4 linked regions of the Drosophila melanogaster genome follow. The protein of the gene in region 4 purifies or fractionates together with the protein of the main gene of each other region. This does not show direct contact. Each region holds a gene or a part of one and is shown on either strand. Other genes may lie near its edges. The genes, in order: Chd64, Yp2, Bacc and Ald1.

The links.
Region 1: the proteins of Ald1 (region 4) and Chd64 purify together in Drosophila melanogaster (affinity purification with mass spectrometry, with the first as the bait; one large-scale study listed by BioGRID). This does not show direct contact.
Region 2: the proteins of Ald1 (region 4) and Yp2 purify together in Drosophila melanogaster (affinity purification with mass spectrometry, with the first as the bait; one large-scale study listed by BioGRID). This does not show direct contact.
Region 3: the proteins of Ald1 (region 4) and Bacc purify together in Drosophila melanogaster (affinity purification with mass spectrometry, with the first as the bait; one large-scale study listed by BioGRID). This does not show direct contact.

The regions. Positions count from the first base shown.
Region 1 is NT_037436.4:4,119,385-4,124,186, reverse strand, and holds the start of Chd64 (Chd64), read left to right. Parts: upstream 1-1,798; 5' UTR 1,799-1,977; coding exon 1,978-2,031; intron 2,032-4,802.
Region 2 is NC_004354.4:10,050,450-10,054,516, reverse strand, and holds Yp2 (yolk protein 2), read left to right. Parts: upstream 1-1,882; 5' UTR 1,883-1,933; coding exon 1,934-2,168; intron 2,169-2,236; coding exon 2,237-3,330; 3' UTR 3,331-3,566; downstream 3,567-4,067. Other genes in the region: Yp1 (yolk protein 1), read right to left, coding at 1-303, 381-600. UniProt on the Drosophila melanogaster protein: Vitellogenin is the major yolk protein of eggs where it is used as a food source during embryogenesis. Vitellogenins and their receptor yl/yolkless are required for maintenance of microtubule plus-end orientation towards the posterior pole of oocytes.
Region 3 is NT_033779.5:2,750,452-2,758,432, forward strand, and holds Bacc (bacchus), read left to right. Parts: upstream 1-1,993; 5' UTR 1,994-2,389; intron 2,390-2,543; exon of another isoform or gene 2,544-2,617; intron 2,618-2,781; exon of another isoform or gene 2,782-2,920; 5' UTR 2,921-2,963; coding exon 2,964-3,209; intron 3,210-5,556; coding exon 5,557-5,719; intron 5,720-5,793; coding exon 5,794-5,843; 3' UTR 5,844-7,469; downstream 7,470-7,981. UniProt on the Drosophila melanogaster protein: Negatively regulates tyramine beta-hydroxylase tbh and thus the conversion of tyramine (TA) to octopamine (OA).
Region 4 is NT_033777.3:26,255,562-26,263,290, forward strand, and holds Ald1 (aldolase 1), read right to left. Parts: upstream 6,031-7,729; 5' UTR 5,775-6,030; exon of another isoform or gene 5,593-5,774; intron 5,553-5,592; exon of another isoform or gene 5,341-5,552; intron 4,275-5,340; exon of another isoform or gene 4,241-4,274; intron 3,653-4,240; exon of another isoform or gene 3,426-3,652; intron 2,719-3,425; exon of another isoform or gene 2,481-2,718; 5' UTR 2,460-2,480; coding exon 1,664-2,459; intron 1,572-1,663; coding exon 1,372-1,571; intron 1,063-1,371; coding exon of another isoform or gene 967-1,062; exon of another isoform or gene 913-966; intron 747-912; coding exon 651-746; 3' UTR 405-650; downstream 1-404. UniProt on the Drosophila melanogaster protein: Enzyme of the glycolytic pathway. Glycolysis is essential in glial cells but not in neurons; neurons rely on the citric acid cycle for their energy needs, and on lactate and alanine secreted into the hemolymph by glial cells to fuel it.

The sequences.
Region 1 (4,802 bases), on a different chromosome or scaffold from region 4:
GTGTGTGGACGGGTCCCGAGCAAGCAATAAAAGAATACGAAGACGCGGTATCCACATACCATTAACCCATCCACATTTACAGCGCCTCACTGCTAGGAGGGCATATTCGAACCCCCTCTTTATTTTTTGCCCAACTTTGCACAGTTGTTCTGTAAGTTAAGTTTAATACGTTGAGCCAACGAATCGTGAGGTATTATTTATTTAAACAAAACGAAACAAACGAAAAAAAAAAAACATAGGAAAGAGGAGGAAATAAGGAAATTCAATTGAAATTATTTGCTGATACTGTTCGCAGCTAGTCGAGCAGATACATAGGTAGCCTGTAAACAATAAAACAATTACACGCGGATATATACACCCACTGTAATCACAGATGTCAGTGCTTGATATACACATGCCTAGGTCTAGTGGAACTGGTAGTTCTACCATGTTGTACTATTTGTAGTAGGAGTCCCAAATCTGATTATGCTTATGTCACCCTTTATTATAGGAATGTTCTCTGTATATTATTGCGTCTCTTTTGCGTCTACGTATATATTTTTTGGTAAATGATTTTTTATATATACATATACACATTTATATTTGTAATTTGTATTTATCCATGTGCAAAAATAAATTATGATGATTATTTTTTAAAGAGTCGTCCCCCTCGAAGCATGCATAACAGATTGTAAAAAATGAATCGATTTATATATAATACGAAAATCACACACTACCCACTTGTATCTGAGCGAAAGGGCCTTAACAATTAGTAGGATGCATGATCGATGTATGCAGATCGGTTATAAAAACAGATATAGCAGGCATATTATTCGCATGCGAAAACCGTTAATAGAATAATATATTATAATGGCAATATGTGTATGCAACTAATAAGCCCTAACTTCTAGTTAATTACTGCTTTCCTATGTTATAAACCAAATGGCGATATAATCAAAACAAAAGACAAGCCCACATAAGTTAAATGTGTATGCTACCAACATAACAAACCTTTGAAGATCAAGCTGAATTATGTATTTCTAATATTAAATATATCACAACCCACACATAAAAAAAAAAAAACAAACACGACAAATAGAACAACAAATTATACAAGCAATTCCCCTATTTATTTAGAACCACACTGAAACACTAAAGAAATTCGCTTCTTATCGTAAATCCACAATTGCATAATTTATACGATTAAACAAAATATATATTTATGTGAATAAACTGTAACTAATTCTCAAGGCAATCATCCAAATGCGATTCGCTACTTCTTGGTTTCCAGAAAGTCCCCCAAAAATGTCATGGTCATCTGAATGGAATGCTGCTGCAAGAACCTCTCGATAAGGGGGAACATAGGAAGTTTTCAATGGAACTTTACTCTGGCGAATCTTATCGGATAGTTTGTACACAACCGCAAAAAGTAGCACTAATAGTGGTTGACTTCTATTAAAAGTAAAGCAACAGGTGGATCATGGAAATCATACTGATTCAGATTCATTATCTTTTCAAAACCTATTGAAAACAAAAGTTACTGGTTTAGAAGGCAAATGAACCAGAAATTTTAAATTTATACTTATATAGTGTAAAATTGTTTCCAGTGCTCGATAGTTCCATGTTTTATTATTTGAAAAACAACTGCCGTTAACAAAGCGGTATGACATCATCAATGCCATCATAACAAATCAGCTGCCGCTGATAAGCGCAGCTTGGAGCTTTTATGTTGTACCCAACCTACTAGGTACAAGACTGAGTGTGCTTTACAACACTAAACTGTTGGCGAGCTTTCCTCTGTTTCGCAGCTCGGACCGCCTTTCATAACGTAGTAAGTTTTCGTTGCGAACGGACGTAGCCCAACCAACTTGGCCTTAACCCTTGCGCTCCCTCCGATTTATTCCGCGGCAAACACATTCCAGTGGACAGTGGTGCAGTTCAGCCCAAGACCAACCTACATTTTAGCTCCCTGCAAACCCGTTTCTTCATCAAATAACTATGGCGTCCAACCGTGCAGCGAAGTCTGGTTTTGCCGCCGAGGCCCAGCGCAAAGTAAGTACCAAATAGCAACAACAACCGCACCCCCCACCCAAAAACCGAAGAGCGCCAAACAAAACAACACAATAAACAAATTGCCCAAAAAAAAATCAACTTTTGCACGGGTGTGTGCGTGAGTTTAGAGCTGCATTGACTTTATTTGGCGCTGCGTTGTCAAGATTTTATCTTCGCGCGCCAAATGCCAAAAATTAGCCAAAAATGGTCTTGAAATTGCCAGCGTCTAACAAGGAATGACCTCATTTCGCTGATAAGTCGAACAAGTATTTATGTACATACATATGTATATAGGAATATATACATGCATGTACACACATGTGTAATGCATGCGTAATTCGAAAGCTTGAAGATGATTTAGGTGATTTTGAGGCATTGTCAGTGCGGGTGATTCAAATCGAAGATCGAGAAAACAGTTGGTTATCCATAAATCAAACAATTAGTAGTAGTTAGTAAAGCTCTGGAAATTTCGATATGAATAATATCCCAAGTTCGAACAGTATACATTATAAAGATGAGCTAATATAATCCTAATTAATTGTGCTGCAATAAAAGCAAGTCTGAATACATAGGTGCTACTTGTGGAGTATCCACTGTAGAAGGAAGACCCTTTGGATGATCTCAACCCAACTATTGCAGCATGGTAGCTTCCGCAATGTAAATTGACATTAGTTCCGTCCATTAGCAGCACTTTGCCTCAAATGCACTCATACAAATGCATCGGGCTTTTGTGGGTGGGATGGGGTTGGGGATGGGTTACCCGTACCCTTCGGCCATTTGGCCCTCGTCAAGTCGGGGTTACGCAATTCCAACCGCCCCTGGGCAGCCCCAAGTGAAATTGTATATGTCGCCGGCACAGGGGATTAAGTGCAGTCCGACGAAATCCACAACAAGACAACTACAGTTACAGCATTGCCCAAACAAAAAACGAAACAAATAATCGAGATTTTTCATATCCGAAGTTTTGTATACCCTTGAGGAGCACTTTACCAAGTTGTTGACAAACTGAAATATTTTGTTTTGCTTTAGCTTTGCTTATCTAAAAGTATTTCCACCCGGATTTCATTCTCTTGAGTCAGCCATTTGGCAAAAGGCCTTGTTTATCGGTATTATCTGTACTAGCGCATTTTTAAAACACAGTATGTTTTAAAACACAGTATGAAGTATGTTTTAACGTGGTTTATGGTGATATATCAGGCACTATGGTTATGAAAAATATTATGAGAACTCTGTAGTGTTTATTTATGCCATATCATGTTAAGCTAAAACATTTTGGTACTTGGAATAGGAAGAACCTTGGCATAGGGTATAGAAAAATAAGAGAAATAGAGGCGAGTGCCTGGAGGCGCAGCTGCTGGCGCGACTCCAAGCCGCGATCGAATGGCTCCCCAGGAGCCGAAGGCGATGATGTCATTCCTTCAGCTGTCCCTCCACTGGTGCTCCTCGATCCCTTCGCGATCCATTCAACTCGAAGGCGTTGTTAGTTTGAGCACTTTTGCCGCTCGCTGGGAGTCACTCATATCTTCTGAGGGGGATTCGGGTTCGGGTTTTGAGTTTTTGGGGGTGACAGGAGGTAGAGGCGATAGCAGCACCTTTTCCACCACATGAGCACTTAAAACTGAGTATGTGGCGTAAGCAAACAGCAAAACAAAAGTGAGGCAAAAAGGTATGAAAGCAATATTTTTGTTTGTCTCATGGGTTCTCTACACTCCGTGCTTGCGTGTGTGCTTTTTCCGACTTTTACGACCAGTCACCGACAAATTGGCATGGATCTCAAGTTTCGGCCAGGGAATTCGTAGCCCCTTTATTTTCAACCCTTTCCTGGGATCGTAGCACCAGCTGTCGGGAAAGTTCTAGGAATGAGGCAGAAAGGTCTCAAGTTACTCAAAGTATGTTTACTAATTTGTAACTACATAAACGATTGAATATATTAGTTTAGCAATCTTAGATTCAGCATGATACTATTTCCTTTCTGGAAATTCACCCCTAAGAAGCCGCACTGTAGTTGTTTTCTTTTCCAACTCCCTCCACGCTCGCAGCTGTATCTCACCGCATTGGCGGCACATGGGCCACGTACTAATCACTTGGCCTTTTTCGGAGTCAAGAATCCACACTCAATTAGCAGTGCATATGTGAAAGACACTGTGTACACACTTGTACATCCGCAGCACGCACCTCCCTGTATCTGTATCTATATATCAGTATAGGTACGGGTATCTCTATCAGTGCGGGCGACACGTAAGTGGAACACTTGGCCCACATGAACTCCGTGCTCCTAGATGGGTATAGCTAGGTATTCATTCCCGAACCTCTCCCCCAAAAATTTAACACTTGTTGGCCGCTAGTTTTAGATAAGCCATAAACAGTCGCGGGAGGTGGTCGACAGCGGCTTTATCGTAAATCAAATGCTGTTTTGGATTTCCGGTGAAACTACTGCCAGTGCCGAAAACACCTCGACAAATGAAAATGGAATGAAATTCTGCCCCCTGTCCAAATCCCTCCGAAAAAGGCACTCGATGGGGGCCCATACAACAACTCAGTCAACTGAAGTCGAAGTTGGTCGCTCGTAAACCAGACTCAAAAATCATATATGTATGTACGCAATTGACCTCGTTACATTTTTGCGGATTTTGTTTATGTTATCGTTGTGGAATTTTTGTCATTTTCCCATTTATTTATCCACCCAAAAGATATCGGTCAGCAATTGTCATGGATCATGACGCATTCGAATCGCAAAAGAAAGCGAAATCGGCGGTGGCATAGTGAATAAT
Region 2 (4,067 bases), on a different chromosome or scaffold from region 4:
TCTGATCCTGGTAGTCCTGGTTGCCGTTCTTGCCGTGCTGGCGCTGCTGCTGCAGATTGTAGCGCTGCATGTAAGCCTGAACCAGCTTCCTGGTCGCCTTCTTCACGGTCTCGCTGGTCTGGGGCAGTCCGGTCACAATGATGGTCACCTCATCCTCACCAAAGTTCTGCTTCTGCTTCAGGCGCTGGATCATCTCGTTCAGGGGAGCAACGGTCTTGTCACCATTGGGCTTGGGCACATAGACCTGGATGCCGCTGGGCACATAGTTGGGCTCAACGTTGTGGTGGATCTGCGACAGGTGGTCTACAAAGGATATATATATTCCATAGAATATTCGATGTTTTTTTTTTTTTTTTTTATCTGCATCTAGGATTACTCACAGACTTGCTGCAGCAGCTCGGCGCCACGCTCCAGGTTCATGTTCTCCAGACGCTCAATGGTGAAATCGTCGAGGGCGGGAATGGCCTCCAGCTGGGATCCGGAGAGCCACTGCGACGGCTTCAATGCCTGGTTGACGGAGTTGTCCATACGGCCATTGGGCTTGGCCAAGGCGGCGACCGCCAAGCAAGCCAGAAGGCTCAGCACTCTCATGGGGTTCATGGTTCGGATTTGGGATTTGGTCCTGCGGATGCGACTTCAACACTGAGTGAGTTGAACTGGCCTTCCAAATCCAACGATGGTGGTTTATATACCACAATTTGCGCTGAGCGATTTCCCATTTTCTGACTCGCTTTTCGCTGGCTCAGGCCTTAATCGGTCACTTGTGCTGAGTAAGGGTTTTCGGGTGCCTGGGAATCGGATGAGTGTATATGCTATCGATAGCGGAATAAATTGTATACATACAAAATAGACACGGGGCCTACCTATAGCTGACCCCACTGATGACTTAGCAGCACCTGCTGCCGCCTGATTATTTTAATTTGTAATCACTTTGTAGGCTCCGCTGATTGCAACATTGTAGTTGTGCACCGGATTTGATCAAATAAATGCATAAAATATAGATCTAACATGGGCATTAGTTGGTTATTATATACAACATTTTATTGATTTTTTTTGTTTATAAGTAGATTTATATTTGGCACTTTTCTTCTGCTTAATTAAAAGTCCATAATTTTGCATTTTCAATTCAAGGCCGATACAGTTCATTGATTCCTAGATGTTTGCCATTGATACGAAAAGTATGGAATGTTTGTAGTTTCCAAGGCAAGATAGTAAGATTATATTTGTTTTTGGACTTTAGAAATGAATTGATTCAGGGGAACGTTTTTCAAGGAGATTCTATTTTAATATCCGGGATTCGTTTTATAATATATGATCTTATCGATGCTATTTCATGTAACTCATTCTACTTATTAAAAATATATGTATATTTCGATAGATGTAAATATTTATATTTATAATATTATAATTTATAATATATTTATTTTGCATTTCCCTGAAAGTGCTATCTGCTTATAGAACAATTTAGACAATTCTTTTGGCAAACACTTAAATAGTTGCATAAATTTCACAAAATTGCCAAATATTTTTTTCAAACAAAAGCTTTATCTTGACCTGTGCATGAGTTCAAGTCGTGCCCCCACTGTCAAGCCCCTTAATGGCCAGACCACCTTTTGTTTATGTTATGAAAGTGCTGGTTAAAGAAGTTTCCCATTACCTGTTACCCGATGGATACTTAATAACCAAAAAAAAAAAAAAAAAAGGGGAACGAAATTTTAGAGCTCATCAGAAGTGTTGCAAAATCACTGACGCTGCGAATCAATGCATTTGTGCTGATCCAGAAATCGGTTGCTGAAATCAATTGCTTCCGGCGCGTGCATTATAGTGTGTATAGACTACCGATTCCAAGGGGTATAAAATGCATTGAGTCGCAGCAGTGGGTATGCAGTACAATTTGGTACGGTGTCTGAAAAAGTCGAACTTGGAAGCCACAATGAATCCTCTGCGCACCCTTTGCGTTATGGCCTGCCTTCTGGCGGTCGCCATGGGTAATCCCCAATCTGGTAACCGTTCCGGTCGCCGATCCAACTCCCTGGACAATGTGGAGCAGCCCAGCAACTGGGTCAATCCACGTGAAGTCGAGGAGCTGCCCAACCTGAAGGAGGTTACCCTTAAGAAGCTGCAGGAGATGAGCCTGGAGGAGGGCGCTACGCTGTTGGACAAGCTCTGTAAGTTCAAGGATCTCTAAAAGTTCTACCAATCATGTTATATTTACACGCACTATCCTATCCCGCAGACCATCTGTCCCAGTTCAACCATGTCTTCAAGCCCGATTACACCCCGGAACCCAGCCAGATCAGGGGCTACATTGTCGGCGAGCGCGGCCAGAAGATCGAGTTCAACCTGAACACTTTGGTGGAGAAGGTTAAGCGCCAGCAGAAGTTCGGCGACGATGAGGTCACCATCTTCATCCAGGGCCTGCCCGAGACCAACACCCAAGTGCAGAAGGCTACCAGGAAGCTGGTGCAGGCCTACCAGCAGCGTTACAACCTCCAGCCCTATGAGACCACCGACTACTCCAACGAGGAGCAGAGCCAGAGGAGTTCCAGCGAGGAGCAGCAAACGCAGCGCAGGAAGCAGAACGGTGAACAGGATGATACCAAGACCGGAGACCTGATTGTGATTCAGCTGGGCAATGCCATCGAGGACTTTGAGCAGTACGCCACCCTGAACATTGAGCGTCTGGGCGAGATCATTGGCAACCGTCTGGTTGAGCTGACCAACACCGTGAACGTGCCCCAAGAGATTATCCATCTGATTGGCTCTGGACCCGCTGCCCACGTTGCCGGAGTGGCTGGACGCCAGTTCACCCGTCAGACCGGACACAAGTTGCGCCGCATCACCGCCCTGGACCCCACTAAGATCTACGGCAAGCCCGAGGAGAGGCTGACCGGACTGGCCCGTGGTGATGCTGACTTCGTTGATGCCATCCACACCTCCGCCTACGGCATGGGTACCAGCCAGCGATTGGCCAACGTGGACTTCTTCCCCAACGGACCCTCGACCGGAGTGCCCGGAGCCGATAATGTCGTTGAGGCCACCATGCGTGCCACCCGCTACTTCGCCGAGTCCGTGCGTCCTGGAAACGAGAGGAACTTCCCCTCCGTGGCCGCCAGCTCGTACCAGGAGTACAAGCAGAACAAGGGCTATGGCAAGCGCGGCTACATGGGCATCGCTACCGATTTCGATCTGCAGGGCGATTACATTCTGCAGGTGAACTCGAAGAGCCCCTTCGGCAGGAGCACTCCCGCCCAGAAACAGACCGGCTACCACCAGGTCCACCAGCCCTGGCGCCAGTCCTCCTCCAACCAGGGTTCCCGCCGTCAGTAGATCATCGCACAGTGATCCATCGATGACAACCAGATCGCACACCCCTCATGCGAGCGAACCACTCCAGCCCATCCTCATCCAGCAGAACCCTCTGCCAGTTGCATCCACTACGATTAGTTAGCTTTGTTTTTTTAACTCACAATAAAAAACGTTTGCATTTTTAAACATTCTAAAGAGTTCAGTTCAATATCAGAAAAAAACCCCAGTTCAATTTACAATAAAAACAATTGCTTATGTCGAAATATTTGAGAGTTCTAAATGCTCATTATATAAAAATATCCAAAACCAAATTATGCAATGCCACTGAGGTCATAAAAGAAGCACACAACAAACATTTGGATTACATGATATGTTTATTTGATAAAGAAAGCATATTATCCATTATGATATATAGCGTACACACACGCACAACCACATATATAGATATGGCGCTATATATATGGGACGATGAACTACGGACAATATTTCTTGCTTACTACTGTATTGGCAGGCGCAAAAAAATTGGGTTGAGATATCACTAAGCTTAAATAAGAATAATTAACGTAGAATTTCAACTTGCTTCACTCATATTCATCGTCTCGATTTCAACAACCTCATCAGAACTAATCACAAATTGGAAAAATCATATACAACACGGGGTGCAATGGGAATGGATGGTCTTTTTATCGATGCGAATGGGTCTCCAGATGAGATGGGTTAATGGATTTAGAGGCTTATTTAGAGCTGTGTTTTTGTTT
Region 3 (7,981 bases), on a different chromosome or scaffold from region 4:
GATGATATCATATCGAAATAAAGCTGTCAAAAGAACTGAAACTTCCGTTTTTGAAAAGCCTAACAACCCGATTAGAAGAAATCTATTAAGCACCGCATTAAGCTGAAAGAGCGAAAAACTTAATCGCCGTGAATACAAGCTGATGTGTGTGTTTTAGATACACATGCTAGCTGAAGCGTCTGGCTATCGATTGTGTTTGCATTGAGATTTGTTCGCACCTTTATGCTACAGCAAATTAATGACGCAACAACGTGTAAGTGCACTGGGAGAAATTCCTGAGGCAGGTCAGTAACGACAACGGTCGGGGAAAAATCCCTTGCGTTAGTTTCGTGTTCGAAAGGGCCATAAAATTTCCGAATCGACAGATGTTTGGGTTCCGGGAAGCAGGACCATCCATCCATTTCTGCCTGCTTGAGATCCTACCTACCCGGTGGTTGCCTGCATTTGAAACCGTTGTCTAACCTTGAAGTAACTACGGTCGTACCAACCAAGCCGATAACTCGAGAAATTGGCACAGGTTGTCCTCAGGAATCTAGATACCATTGTTCAACACCGAGAGGTGGTCTCACAAGCCCGATGAGCACGACTATTCGTATCGCGAGAGACCCACCAATCTTGGGCCGACGAGCGTCAAGCCACTCGAACGGATACTGAGAGTTCGGCGGACGGAAAGTGAGACAGTGACAGCCAGAGAAGAACGGTAGGCGGCCCATGGAAGCACAGCGAAATGGAGACGCAAATCGGCTTATCAGGCAGCGATGTTCAGGCAAAAAGTCATCGCTGCTCCTCAAATATGTGATAACTGAGTGGACGACGGGCCACGATTACAGGTGTTTACGTTCACCATGCCGCCTCGGTTGGGATGCCGCGGAACATGTTCGCCGGTTTTAATTAGCGATCCGCCTGTCGACAGTCGTCCGCTCGCTCTGTCGTCGACCGTATTATTCAGATTACCAGATATATAGCCTAGGTATTCGTATTTGCCATTGCTTTCGCACGAAAATAGCTGAAAGCGTGAGAGGCTGTCCAATCGAAACTCGACTGTTGGATACCCGGCAAACGATAGTTATTACCCTTTCGTCGATAGGCTACTGGAAATAGCACCAAGAACCTTATGTCTTCCGGTCGAATTCCTCTAGTATTACTTTATGGGTTGTTATTCCGCTCGTTAATGTGCACATTTTGAATGAACTTGAAGATCAACCTCGCAGTGATTGTCCCACTGATAACACAGATTTATAGAGAAGAGCCAGTACAACTCGAGCACGTTGACTACCAGGTGATATGGGCGATATGTTATAGCCTACTCGGCAGTTCCAGTTTCCCATATATTGGGCGATTCCTGAACCCACTGGGTTCGTGCGGCGAACGAAGCCATCACCATCAAATGGTCGAACCACAAGTGCGGGATCAACAGAAAGATTGGCACATGAAAAAAGAGTCAAGGGTGGACCCAATTCGACGAGTGATAGGCATTGGCATTTAAGTCGAAGTCTTTGGTGGGGCCATTAGGACTTAAGGATGTTTAATATTTCTGGAAATTGCCGATTTCGAAAACTAACCCTTAAATGTTTTCGAATCTTATGGGGTTGCAAATTGCTGTTTTCTTGCTATTTCTCCAGTTCTCTAATTCTAGTTTTAAGACGCATAATCCCGGAATAGAGCATTTCCCCGATTGCGTGCATCTAAATAGTTAGAATCTCAAAAATAGCTGCCCGCTTTCCTGGTCCGCGAAAATCACCTGCTTCCCCACACGTTACCAATCAATTGACCCCAATCCGCGACGACATTGCGTCCCACGCTGGTCCACTCTATAAATACGAATACCGTGCTGAATACAACACACAGCACACACATCTGCATCTGCGGCAACAATGCTGCAACACTTCTTCCCATCGGCAACATCCACATCCACTGTTCTGCTCTGTTCTGTTCTGTTCCACCGACGAACGGTCAGAACGCCACAGAGTGACTGCACCACACACACCACACACCACCATCGCCGCTACCAACCCCCAGACCCCGCCCCCAGGCCCACAAGCGCACCACTGGCGCGCGCAATTTTCAAATTTACCGCCAAACGCGCCCACAACCGTACTCACGGAACCCAAGCAGATTTTGTATGGAATTAATCAGGAAACCCACTCAACTTGTCATTTGCGGATCTAGTTTTGATCGCAGCGCCTCGGGAAAAAGCCCAAAATTAAGCGGATACTACCAGCTATAGCCTCGATCAGTCTCTGAACCGATCCGAACAAAGGTATTCAAGTTATAGGCAAAAATGTCTGCAACCGATTTGGCGCAAGAAGAAGCAAGCGGCAATTTCTAGCCATCGAACGGACGGCAAGCTCAGTCTTGTACGAACCGTCGACGGGAGCACATATCGGTGGTTAGCAAACCAAAGGAAAACGGATATTCCATACATCAGTGGGGCCTACGAGTAAATCCTTTTGCCTGCCGTAGCGCCGCCTGATATATGGCACCTCCTAAAGCCTTACTATATAGATACTATATTATCAGAAAATCACCGCAAAATAATATACCAAAAATCCAACGATCGCTCTGCTCTGGGCTGTTGTTGTTGTCTTATCGACTGCGGCTGTACAAATGCCGCGGCGATTTTTTGAGTGTATTGTATGGGCCAATGGCGTGGGAGAGAGAGAGCGAGTGAGCGTCGTAACGATTTCGGGGAGAGCGAAAAAGAGAGCAGCGAGAGCGTTTAAAGAAAGTTACTCTCTCCTCGAGAGGCAGTGCTTAAATAGACGGCCCGCAGCTGAATCGCATTCAGTGTGTTTGTGTGCTTCGTTCGGTGCGGTTCTCTCTGTCTCTCTCTCGCCTTCCCCGAGTATTTTGCGCTGGTTTTTTGTCAACAACAAGACAATCCACAAAACCAACCCGAATTGTTCTCTATATAACGCAGAAACTAAATAGTTCCGGAAAACCTCAAAGAAACCAATTCAAATATGTCGGCTGCTACGGAACAACAGAACAACGGCGATGTGGCCGTGGAGAAGGTGGCGGCAGATGATGTGTCTGCTGTCAAGGACGATCTCAAGGCGAAGGCGGCCGCCGAGGATAAGGCCGCTGCTGCCGATGCCGCCGGCGACGCGGCCGACAACGGTACGTCAAAGGACGGCGAGGATGCCGCCGATGCCGCCGCCGCTGCCCCCGCAAAGGAATCCGTGAAAGGCACCAAGAGGCCAGCAGAAGTGAGTACTGATCTATGTGACTAGGTAGTTGTTTACGCGGTAAAACCAAAAGGAGGCCCCTCTAATGATTCACTCCAAGCCAATATGCCAGTAGCATAGCATTGTTCGAGGAAAAATTCTAGAAATAGATATACACACGTTTTTCGGAACAGCGCACTCTCCCAATGGCTTACATATGCCCCCAAAAGAGAGAGCGTATAGCTGGCTCGGTTGTGCGTTTGTGTTGTTTACGATTAACCAAGATGATTGCGGGTCCGGCAATCAAAGATTATTGTTGTTAGGTTCAAATCGAGGTTAGGAGGGCCGCCGTGCTTATATAGGCGGGGAGTACAGTTAGCCAGGGCCTTTTCTTTGGTGGGGTGGGTAATGTGTTTTTAATAAACCCATAGGTCATTAGCATTGACGTGTCCGCTGAACAGCGTTACCCAGCAATAGATACATTGTGGCATTACGTCTATAACTCATACGCTTGGCCTTATTTATCAGTCGCTGTGGCTACGGGAATTGCAAATGCAAACGCAAACGCAATTCAGCGCGATGCCAATGCACTCTCTCAATGAAAACACACATTGCCGGCCGGTAAATTACTCATGTCATGTTTGGCCACTTTATTTTTGGTTAGTATCGCCAAGAGCACGCGGTATTCGAACAAGTTTTGGGGGCCTGAAGCAGTCGCATTCCATAATCGAGTAGCACATTTCTTGATAAAAATAAAATAGTTCGGCCAGTAAGGCAGATAAATTGGCAAATCAAGCGCTTTTCTCAGACTCAAACTCGAAATAAAAATGTACAGTTTAACGGGAGCGTTCTCTCGCTCTCTCTCTCTCTCCCCGGAGAAAGATAGATACAAATAGAGAGCGCTGCTAACTCTCTCCCTCGTAATTTGTATACACACCGTTTTGTCTGTTTGCGTATGTGCTTACATTTATCTTTCACTTTTTTTTCTGCTCTGCCTTATGCGTATTTATTTTAGTACATAAAACAAGACGGCTAAACAGGGTGTCGCAAAAGTTAGTTGGGTTTCTTCGGGATTCAATTGAATAATGATCATTATCCCATGATCATGAATTAGTTGAGATACGTTTGGCACGGATAATTCTTAGTGGTACAGTAACGAATTGTATAGATTTCAAGAATAGTTTTGAAAATTATTCGTTGGTTTCCATATCTTTCGATTCCAAACAACAGATTAGCTTTTGTCCCTATAAATGTATCTTCACGCTTAGAAAACACAAACTAAAACCTCTAACTAAATCAAGATACATTGATTACCCAGTTATAACACCAGTAATAGTAGGCTTAGTTCTTGCCAATACAGATACACCCTGTTCGTCTTAATCCTCTATTGGCCTTTTCTCGAGTTCTGGGTCTCGTGACTTATGCTGTAAGCGAAGTGAAAAAGGGGGGCGATGGGTGGCCATTAATTTTGCACATTTTTCCACAGTCCGATTGTTTTTCGCTTCTTCCGCTTTGTAACAGTCTGGTAAATAGGGCCCTTGTGTTGCGGCTTCTCTTCGACTTGGGAACGTGACCGCCTATATACTGCCATAAACCATATACCATTATGTGTATCTTGTTGTTGGTTGGTCAGCGGCAAAAGTTAAACCCACGCATGTTGTTGTTTTGCGCCTTTTTCGCTGCCGACGTCGCTGCAGCAGCTGTCGTTCGGATGGCTGTGAGTGAGAGCGAGAGATTCATTCATGCAGTTCAGGTACAGTTTACAGTGCTGCGGATTCAGATGCTCTCTCTCTGGCGCTCTCGCCCGCTCTCTATCTTACAGGGCACGCTTCGTTTCGTATCTCACGGATGCGGATACATATGTCGCTGCCGGCGTCGCTGCTTATTGTTTTTTTTTCCTTCCCCCTTATGTAGTAAATATGTCGCCTTGTACATACGGAGCACAGATGTAATGTAGCGCGGTTGCACTTGTAATCCACTCTCTCACGTACTCTCTCTCCCGCTGTCTCTTTTTGCCGCAGCGAATTACATTGGCGCGCGCATTTTTCAAATGTTTTTTTACGGCGAAAATAACGATTTTCGTCGCTGCTTGTTTTGTGTGCTGAAAATATACATTTTATGACTATGTACACACGCACAGGAAGTTGAGAGGGGTATTGGATGCCCTTGATCAAGGAGATGTGTGGGTTTGAGTTGGGCGCGTAGGACCATTTCGCTCCGTAATTCTCCCTAATATCCTTTAGTTTGTTTCTCAGATTAATATCAAAAATGCATAATTAATAGTGACGGGCCCCTTATTTCTGTTCAATAAACTTGCTTGTAATACAGTAAATCATCAGCGGAACAAAAACCAAAGGAACTCTACTAACTTCTCTTTTTTCGCTTCCAGGCCAAATCCGCAGAATCAAAGAAGGCCAAGAAGGCCGCGGCCGCCGATGGAGATTCCGATGAGGAAGAGGCTCTGGAGGAAATCATCGAGGGCGACAGTGAAATCGAGAGCGACGAGTACGACATCCCCTACGATGGTGAGGAGGATGACATTGAATGTGATGGTGAGTTCACGGAAGCACTTCCCTTTTCCACATCAATCTAATCCCCGGATTTTCCCTTTCCCTTACCCGCGCAGATGATGATGATGATAATGATGACGGTTCCGGCTCGGACGATCAGGCGTAATAATAATGTAGTCAAAAATACAAACAAAAACAAACAAAAATTTAAATTAATAATAAATAAAAGTTACAAGCAAAAACAAAACAAAAAAAATATAATAATAAACCAACAAGCAGAAAATAAACCACAACAAGGAGAAAATGAGGAGGAGGAGGAGAAAAAAACCACAAAAAAATCGCAAAAGTATATAATTTTTATGTTTAAGAAATAATTTTTTATTTCTTACCTTATTTTAATTGTATTTTATGTGTACTTTTTTTATAAAAAACTACAAAACAAACAAAAATTGTAATTGAAGGCATTTTCGTATAAACGCAACCTATACGGAATCCAACAAAAAGTAAACATCCCCACTATATACAAGAACAAAACAAAACCAAAATCTTTCTTTCCTTTATCTCATAAGTCCTAATTTAAACGCCCAGTTGATGCGTAAACCAAGATATACAAAGATTTCAAATGTAGCGTAAACGAAGCCCGCGAATTAAACACAGATACACTACACTCACACACACACACGATATTCAAATTCATTATTAAATTAGACGTTACATTTGTGAATGAATGATCGATCGAAAGAAGCAAAAATACAAAAGTGAACATTTGAAAATGAACATGATTATGAACATGAAAAAGAAACAGCAAATGCAATTAAATACAAAACAAATAAAACATAAAAATTGTATTTAAATAAATCGCAAAAATCATTGAAACCCCATACTCGACAAGCATTCAATGACACTCAAGTTTTAGCTATGGTTTCAAAAATTTCGCGCCCATTGTGGCCACAGTCACCCGAATTTCCCAAACCCAAGGCACTGGGACTTAGTTGGTCTTCGCTTTTGGGGCAAATACAAAAAAAAAAAACAAAAAAAAATGAAAGGAAAACATCGGGAAGTTTGAGTTCTAACCTTCTGTTTCGTTTCAGCATTTAACTATAAACTATGACTAATCTTAAGTACTTATGTCAGTATTAAAGCGAGGGCTTTATTATTCTGTTGATAAGTTGTGCGAGCGAGTCGTTGATAAGCCTAATTCATTTGTAAATTGTAAAAACCAACTCGAGAATCGAAAAACGAGCAAGAAAATAAACTTTTAATGTTACATGTATCTAATTAGTAAGGGCATCCAAACTATTTATACACACACCCCGTACGACGAGTTCTCAATATAAACATATAACGACTGATATTTCAAAACGAATCGTGCCCAGCTGGTCAATCACGGCACTCGACACCGAAACCACCCAACCACCACCATCCTCGAATCTAAACGATTTGTCCCGGAAAGACAGACCAGCCCAACATACACACACAATCCACCCACTGACCCAGATCCAAACTCCAAGAGGCTTAAAGCTGGTAATGCCAACCAGCAACTGAATAATTGAGTGCAATTAAACCAATATGCCCAAGATAAATCATCCGATTTGATAACTGATAAACAATAGCGATATCACAGACAATGTTAAAGAACTATGCATTTTTGTAAATACCAATTACTCATGTATCTGCTCCGTGCGAGAATAACATCTAGTAGCGCGAAAGGGCAAAAAGAGAAAAGAACCACGAATCGAAAACGAGAATAAGAAACAATTTTGAACGATGAAATAAATTATTGTAATTACGTAAAAGCGAAAACCGTACGTACATACCACCCATTTGGCATCTGTTCCGATGCCAATAAAAGTTTGTTTCAATTGCAGTTGGCCATTTTGGGTGGGGCAATCACCTCGCTTCGGTGTTCCCAGGGGTAGTAGTTCTTAGCCAGGAGCATGTACGTATGTAGGTACATAATTCATAGATTGGCCGCCCCTACATTACTCCGATCCATCCCTTCCATATCCCAGTTTTCGTTCGGGGGTTGACGAGCTGGTTCCCACAATCCTCCCTATGAAAGAAATCATATACTAAGGGATGATGGAAAAATTCAATCGGAAATTTCCTTTGATTAAGTACCTTTTTCGGATTGAAAATCGATTAGCCTTAGCAGATGCCTATTAAAAAAACGAATGATGAAATTCCGGGCTCTTCGTTGGGCAAATGAAGTTGAGCTACTTTTATATTCAAATTCAAATATAAGCGCAAAAATTTCTAAAAGTTTAAGAGCTTTTAAGTTTCATAAGCCATTTCTTTCATTTA
Region 4 (7,729 bases):
TCACACTGATTTTTGCTGCGCTCGAAGAACTTCCGCCACTTTTTCCACCTGCGGCAATTTTCTAAAAACTTTCCACGCATCCAAGCGCACGAATACATGCTGCGTACTGCGGAAAGTTTTGGAAAATTTAATCTTGCAAGTTCTTTGGAGGAAAATTATGATTCGATTAAATATATGTAACAGCTCTCCGAACGAATTTTACGTTGTTTTCAACTTAACTGTCAGGTACAGATATTCCGAATTATTATTCTAATTAACAGTAGGAAGTTTGCAAAGGGCTTTCATGAATAAAGTTAGACAAGACATTTTTAATTAAAATGTATTTAAATTAAATTAAAAGGTAAAATAAAATCGAATTTTTGTTTAAAGCTAACTAAAGTAAACAAAATCATAAGCAAGGTATTATTAGAAATATATAATTTATTTCTGTTCGCCAAAAATATTTTCTTTAAGGTCTAGTCAGTTTATTCGGTAAAATGTAAAAATGTATAAAAGGAATATATTTGCAGTTCCATTGTTGGAGGAATATAAATGTTGCCCGTCTCACTCCAGCTGGGCCTCGATCAGTAACTCTTGCGGATTATCTGGATTCGGCTTGGGATATAGCTTCGCTCGATTGTGACTCGGGATTAGTGCGTGGCATTTAGGACTTAGTATTTGTGCTGGGCGACAAAGAGGTTGGCATTGCCGGCAAACGACGGAATTGAGCCGGGCACGTAAATACCCTGACAGGCCTGGGAATTGGCCTGTGGAAGCGGGAGGAGAGCGGGATTTTGGTTGGGATTAATCAGATTTTGGGCTTTTGTGGATTAGGTTTAGAGCAAGCGAAGCATGAGTGGCACGAGGACAGTATGTTAAAGGCGTTTGCGATAAGTCGGATTTGGTGAAAGGCGGCTATGATTCTTAAGTTACCCCATGAAAGCTTGTTCATCGCCATCTTAAGGCAGCAATTCTTCAATCCTTTGATCAATACCTGTGGTCATCCACATGCAAAGTATCTTTTCCAGCGAACCCCTTAACCGATCCAGCTGTATAGTTACCACAAGCCGCCTCTCCGTTAGCCTAGGCATGATTAATGTGTGGTTATTGATGATGAAATTAATGTCTCACGTACAAAAGCAAAAAAAGGTTACAAATAATGGTAGGGAAATGAAAGGGATAAGATTAGAGGATTAGAAGAACATTGTGGTCATTTGGGATTGGAAATGGAATCAATGGCTGGGAATATGCTGTATGTTATATTATACATGTATAATATTTCTTAGCCCAAGGAATACTTCCGAAGCATATACCTGACACTCTTAATACATTCACCACTTAAATTGCTAACTGCAATCAATCGTGCATAGATACAACTATCCAAGGACTCACCTTGGCGCGCTTAAGCAGCTCGTTCTGGCCGGCAGCAATGTTCTCCTTCTTGCCAGCCCAGGCACGCAGGACGGAGGCCTGCAGGGCACGACCGTACGAGAAGGTGAGGGCCCATGGGCGGATCAAGGGAACGTTGTTGATGGCACTCAGGTTGACGGTGGCCTCCTCCTCGGACTGACCTCCAGACAGGAAGGTCACGCCTGTAGACAAACAATCGATTAGATAGGATTCATTGCAAAAACAAGGTGAATGCATTCCAATCCAGAGATTACAGTTGGATTTGATGACTCACCAGTAACGGCGGCGGGAACGGTGCGGCGCAGAGCCTGCACGGTGGCCAGGGCGATCTCCTCGGGGGTGTTCTTCTTGGCCGACTGACCGGCGGTGACCATGTTGGGCTTCAGCAGAGTACCCTCCAGGTAGACGTGGTGGTCGCTCAGGGCCTTGTAGACGGCGGCCAGGACGGTCTCGGTGACCTTCTGGGCGCGGTCCAGATCGTGATCGCCATCGGGCAGAACCTCGGGCTCCACAATTGGGACGATGCGCTGCGACTGGCAGATGGAGGCGTAGCGGGCCAGGACATTGGCGTTCTCCAGGATCGACTGGTAGGATGGGGTGTTCTTGCCGATCTTCAGGACGCAACGCCACTTGGCGAAGTCGCAACCGTCCTTCTTGTACTGGGCGCAACGGGCGGCCAGGTCATCCAGACCCTGGGTGGTGACCTCATCCTCAGAGCCGAACAGTGGGACAACACCCTTGTCGACCTTGATGCCCAGAATGATTCCCTTCTTCTTCAGGATCTCGGCGAAGGGGGTGCCATCATCGGCCTTCTGGTAGAGGGTCTCGTGGAACAGGATCACTCCAGAGATGTTCTCGGCCAGCTTGGGGTCAGTGCTGAACAACAGCTGACGGTAGGCACGGCGGTTGTCCTCGGTGTTCTCCACGCCGATGTCCTGCAGACGCTTGCCCATGGTTGGGCCGGACTCATCGGCGGCGAGGATTCCCTTGCCGGGGGCAACGATTTTCTGGGCGATTTCGCGCAGCTCATCCTGCAGCTCCTTGCTGGGGTAGTTGAAGTAGGTCGTCATTTTTGAGATTCGAGTGTAGTTCTGCAGCACGAAGATCCATTTACGTTTGATTTGGTGTGGTGTTATTTTGTTGGATGAAAAAGAGTAGCGGACATTGTGTTTTAATAAGCTAGCTATCGAATTCCGCAGCGGCGCGGATGATTGGAAACCATTGCGTAAGCACAGAATTTTGAAATATTTCGAGGTAAAAAATAAAACTAAAAATTTGGACTAAAATTTCGTATACGATCCGCACAGTCTGACAACCAAAATCAAGTAACTCAAAGTTACATATGTTCCTACTGAAAAAGATAACAACGGCTACAGAGATAGCTATCAATCAAGTGTTGGATTATTTTACTGAACTGACCTAATTATTATTTCCATAAAATAAAAAGAATATTTGTAAAGGTCAAGTTATTTAAAGTGGAACTCTGAGTTAACCGATTAGAGCCATTGAGTCATATGCTGTTGTTTAATGATGCGGTATTATATAATTTTGTTTTCAGTGTCAGGTCAATGTCACTGGTGTTTTTTCCAATTTAAAAATATTTTTCCATTGAAGATAATAAATGCTTTGCATGGTAGTGTATTTCACAGCTGATTCGATGGCAAAGAGCGGGTGATTGAATGAGATTAAAGGCGCATGCACGGAAAACGTGCTTTTCTCTATATCTGCAGCTCTTCGCTCTCTCTCTCTCACATTTTTTTTTTTCTAGGTTTGTCCTACACTCTCAACATTCACATATAAAATGTTGCCTTTTAATAGAGCTTTTTTAGAGGTTCTCACAAACATCAATGAAAATTCACATTTTAGAAAAATCCTCTTGGATTGTACTATACAAAGTTGGAAAAGTATCACTGCACTTTTTGGAATGAAATATTATATAGTGTCTTATTTTATAGTGTCTGTAATTTGCTAAAAACTATTTGCAAAAACCGAACAATTGTTTTAAGCTTAGATCACAAAGAAAAATCCGAACCAACCTCGACGATGATGTTTTTGTAACTGAGCAAAGTCACGGAAACCTCGGCAATAATTCCCTCTGATGTAATCAAAGTCATGGAATCTTGTGTCTCACTCTAACCGAATGCAGCTGTCTTCTTCACACCCGCATAATGCGTGACGTGGTAACTTTCACTTTTATTGCCGCTGCTGCTGCGCTGTTCCTGCAGGCAGCGACGCCAACGCAGGGCGCATGAATTTTCGCTTGACATTGAACAAGGTCAAGCAACAAGCCTTAGCAACAAATGTTGCCAGCGAAATTTGTTGCTTACGAAATGCGAATAGAAATTGTTGAAAACCGAAAGTCGTGTGGCGCGTGTGAAGTGCGATAGAGATAGCTAGTGTCCAGCAATATGTAGATACAGATACGAAGTCATCTGCGATGACTAAAAACCCATTTTATACTTGTTTGACATTGACAGTGAGCCAAGGACTGGGAATGGCATAAATGTCAGGTTAAGAGATTAGACCTCCGCAACTTATCGCGAAATATTGTTTACCACATCGACCCCACATTTCCCACGCCATATATTTAACACTTTGTACACGCGTGAATAGCTTGTGGTTCCTAAGAACAGATAGATATTATAAAAGCTTGATATATGCATATATTAAAAATACTGCACAGTTTAAGAATATATTAATATATCTCTAGAATACAAATCATTTTTTCATCTATTAATTTCTAAACAGTTATCTAAACACACTTCACAGAACGACACTAGATATGTATGTACACCCTTATCTATAGAATTATCTATAGATGTTGCGGATTCACTCAGCAGACAACACCCACCTACACTTGCCGGCAATCAATCGAAGACTGAAATGTTTCGAAAACTAGGCGAAATATATACGATGACAAAAAAGAAAGAGGAACGAAGAGCAGCCAACGCATGACAACAAAAAACAATCAAAATAAATTTACGTTCCTATCAAGAGACCGTTTATAAAAATAAACCGCCACATGTCCGTCTATATGTATTCGTGAGCTTGCTATCAGTGAAAATTTTGAATCGAAAACGACGAAAAAACGAGCCCCCAGTTGCGTTTTAGTTCCAAAGGTTTTGCATTATCATAACGAGATTTTAGGTCCGGCCTCCTTGAACGCAGACAGTGGGTCAAAAGAACATCCAACAGTTGAGATAATACTACTACTACTACTACGAACTGACGTCAACTGATTAGCCGTAAACATGGGTGGTAATAATTGTATACTTGTCTGAAAATAGGAAACTTCGAGCACTCCCATACTTCTATCTATGCCCTTATTATGTGACCCCAAAAACTTTGTTGTGGTAACTGTTTACTAGATAAGCCAATGTACCTTATCTAGTCTTATTTCATCGATTAGCTTATACTTTACAATGAGAATGTATACCTATAATTCCATTATATTCATTATAAAATTTCCCAAAGCTTGATATAAACGATCAAAGGAACATAAATTGGTTGTTTTAAATGTTCAAAACTCTTCTTAAAAATCCTAATCAGGTTGATCTTGAAAGGAAGTCCTTTGGAGTACCAAAACTTGTTTTCTGTAGGTTTCAAAACAACCCTTAAACTTCTGCCCCTCTTTTCTCATGTACTCTCTACAAACTATCGGTAAAATGTTTGCTCTCCTTCATTCACTGAAATCTCAATTAAATGGTAGGTATAAAATGCAATAGACAAAAGCATATTGCGTCTATCATGAGAAGACGTCAACAATCTGATGAATTTACGATGACGTTGGCTAATTGAAGTCTAAGCGAGAGAGCGATGGGAAAGTATACATATGTATATCGCGATGTATAGTACATACATTTAACATTTGCGCCAACTATTTATAAAGAAAAACCGCAGCGGCGACTACAAATTGCAGTTGAAAGCCTGCCAACAAGCAAATGAACTCGAATGAAAGAGCGGATGAAAAGTAAGAGAGCCGGTTGAGCCGGTAGAGAAAACTACTACTCACGAAAGTGAGCCAAAAGTCACCCGATAAGGCTTCTTATCGCCTGCAGTTCGCGTAGCCCCCCCACTCCTTCAACCGCGGTGCATAGGTCAACAACACTCGAGAGCCTCGAGGTTCTAGAACTTGTCATAAAAGTGGCGAGCACGCGGAAATGGTAAGATTAGAGAATAATTAAACTATATTCGAATACGCACTCACTAACACTAACACGCCTACAGATTCGCTGCTGCTCTGTAGATTTGGATTACGAAACACCCAGAGAAATGGGAACGATTACGCGACTTTTCAACTGCACTGCCGCCAATGGGGGGAAAAATATCTGAATTTTTTTTAAGGGGCTCAGGGGTTCTGTTCACTGCGTATGACGCCCACTCACCGAACTGGAAACTGAATCTGGGATGTGGTGATTAGCTGCTGGCTACTGGCTGGGTCCGCTGCTGCTGCTGCACTGGAGGAGAGCGGTTAACGCTTTTATTTTCGGCCCGTGTCGCTGCTACTGCCGCTGCCGATGCCTCTGCTACCGCTGACTGCGGCGTCAACGTGAAATTCCAAAGCGAAATAAGCGAGACATGCCGAGCGAGACCCCAAAAGGTTGTTTGGAGGTCGTCGCCGACGGTGTTGGGCAACCGACTGAGCCAAGCGCTTTAAATTCCCAGATCCCCAAACGAAAGGTATCCAAAATAAAGCTCATTCTGGGAGCTTTTAGTGGGGGATGGAACCTAACAGATAAGCTGTAAAACTTATTAGACAGCTTTGAGAAGCTTTAGCTTTCGTTTGGGCGGTAAAAATTTAAATGAAATGTGCTCAAAGCGTATTAACATAATAAATAATTTATCTTAAGATCTCAAACACTATACGATATATATTGAAATAGTATTGAAATGTTAAAAACAATAAAGTGCCACAAACTTAATGTCGCGTCTTGCTGGATATAGTCATCCCAAATCATCCTCATCAAGTGAACTATATGTCTTGCCAAGCTTTCTTGCCCAAAACTATAAAAAAGCATTAAAAATGAAGTGTTATCTTTGCAAGTATTTGTATCTTTTAACCTGTCAACAACATTTCCTATTCTACTTATGCATTGAAAAGAGGGTAGAATAATTAATTTGGTGTATTTTAACCTTAATTACGAGCGACCTGCTTTACTTGGGGCGGTCAATGAATTTTTCGTGACCATCAGCATCAGGCGCTCCAGCGGCAGCGCAACAAAAACGAGGGGTGCCAGAAGCAGCAGCTAGGATAAGCGACTTTCACGCCATGCCTGACCTCCTGCAATGTTAAAGGACTCAACCCCCTGGCACTGGAAACAGCTGATTGAGAGCGCAAACTTTGAGAAAATATCCCCCTATTCTGCCATACAATCTGTTCGAGCGAAAGAGAAAATCGTTTCGCTCTTTAAAATGTCCTAATATGACTTTGGCACAGTTTTCTGAATGAAAAGAATGACTGTGGAACGGGTTATAACATTTAAAGGATTTTAGATATTTCATAGACTATCTATGCTTAGGTTTCTTTAGTTAAAGTGATACAGTTGCTAGATATATATGAAATAATATGCTTACCTAATGAAGGAACCTTAGCCACAGTGCTCTTCATTGTCCTCGCTCTCTTTGTGCCTCGTGGCTTCGTCCTTCGTCCTGTTTCGGTTCTCGTGCCTGCCTCACTCGCTTCCCATTTTCGTTTGGGGATTCTGGTTCAGTTTTCAGTTCGAATTCGTGCGTCGGTCGGTCGAGTTGTGTGCCAAACGCTCGGCACCTGTCGCCCAACACGTGTTGCGTTCCACTTGCGCTGCGCGTCTCCTTCGCACACCCGCGTACACCGCGGCGTATACGCTACGTACTGTGGTGCAGCCAAAGCGAAATAATTTCTGATTATTCTAGTTATGTGAACCGAAAGTGGAGTGCATAAGAGTCTGAAATTCAAGCACCAGCTGTGTTTTAACTCATATTAAATTAAAGAGGAGATACGAAAAAGAGGAGTGAATTTGTGGTTCAGAAGAATGATAAATTGTTTTCCCAGTTTTGGTAAGAAACGATTTGGTTCGATTTGGTATACTCATTAAAAGTTGATGTAGATCAGATTATAAAGTATCTTTCAAAAAACTACAGAAAAATGTTCATTTCTAAAACTAATATTGATGGAACCCTTTTTTTTGCTTTACAATAAATGGCAAGATTAAAGATTAGGGCAAAATAGCTAGAAAAGTTTTTGATCAACTATAGTTAGGTTATACTATATTTCTATTTATCTAGTCTTTTTGTTAAAGGACATTTGAAATAGTTTTTTCTTAAATTCCATTTTTCTTCTTATAAGAGTTCACGAAAACCA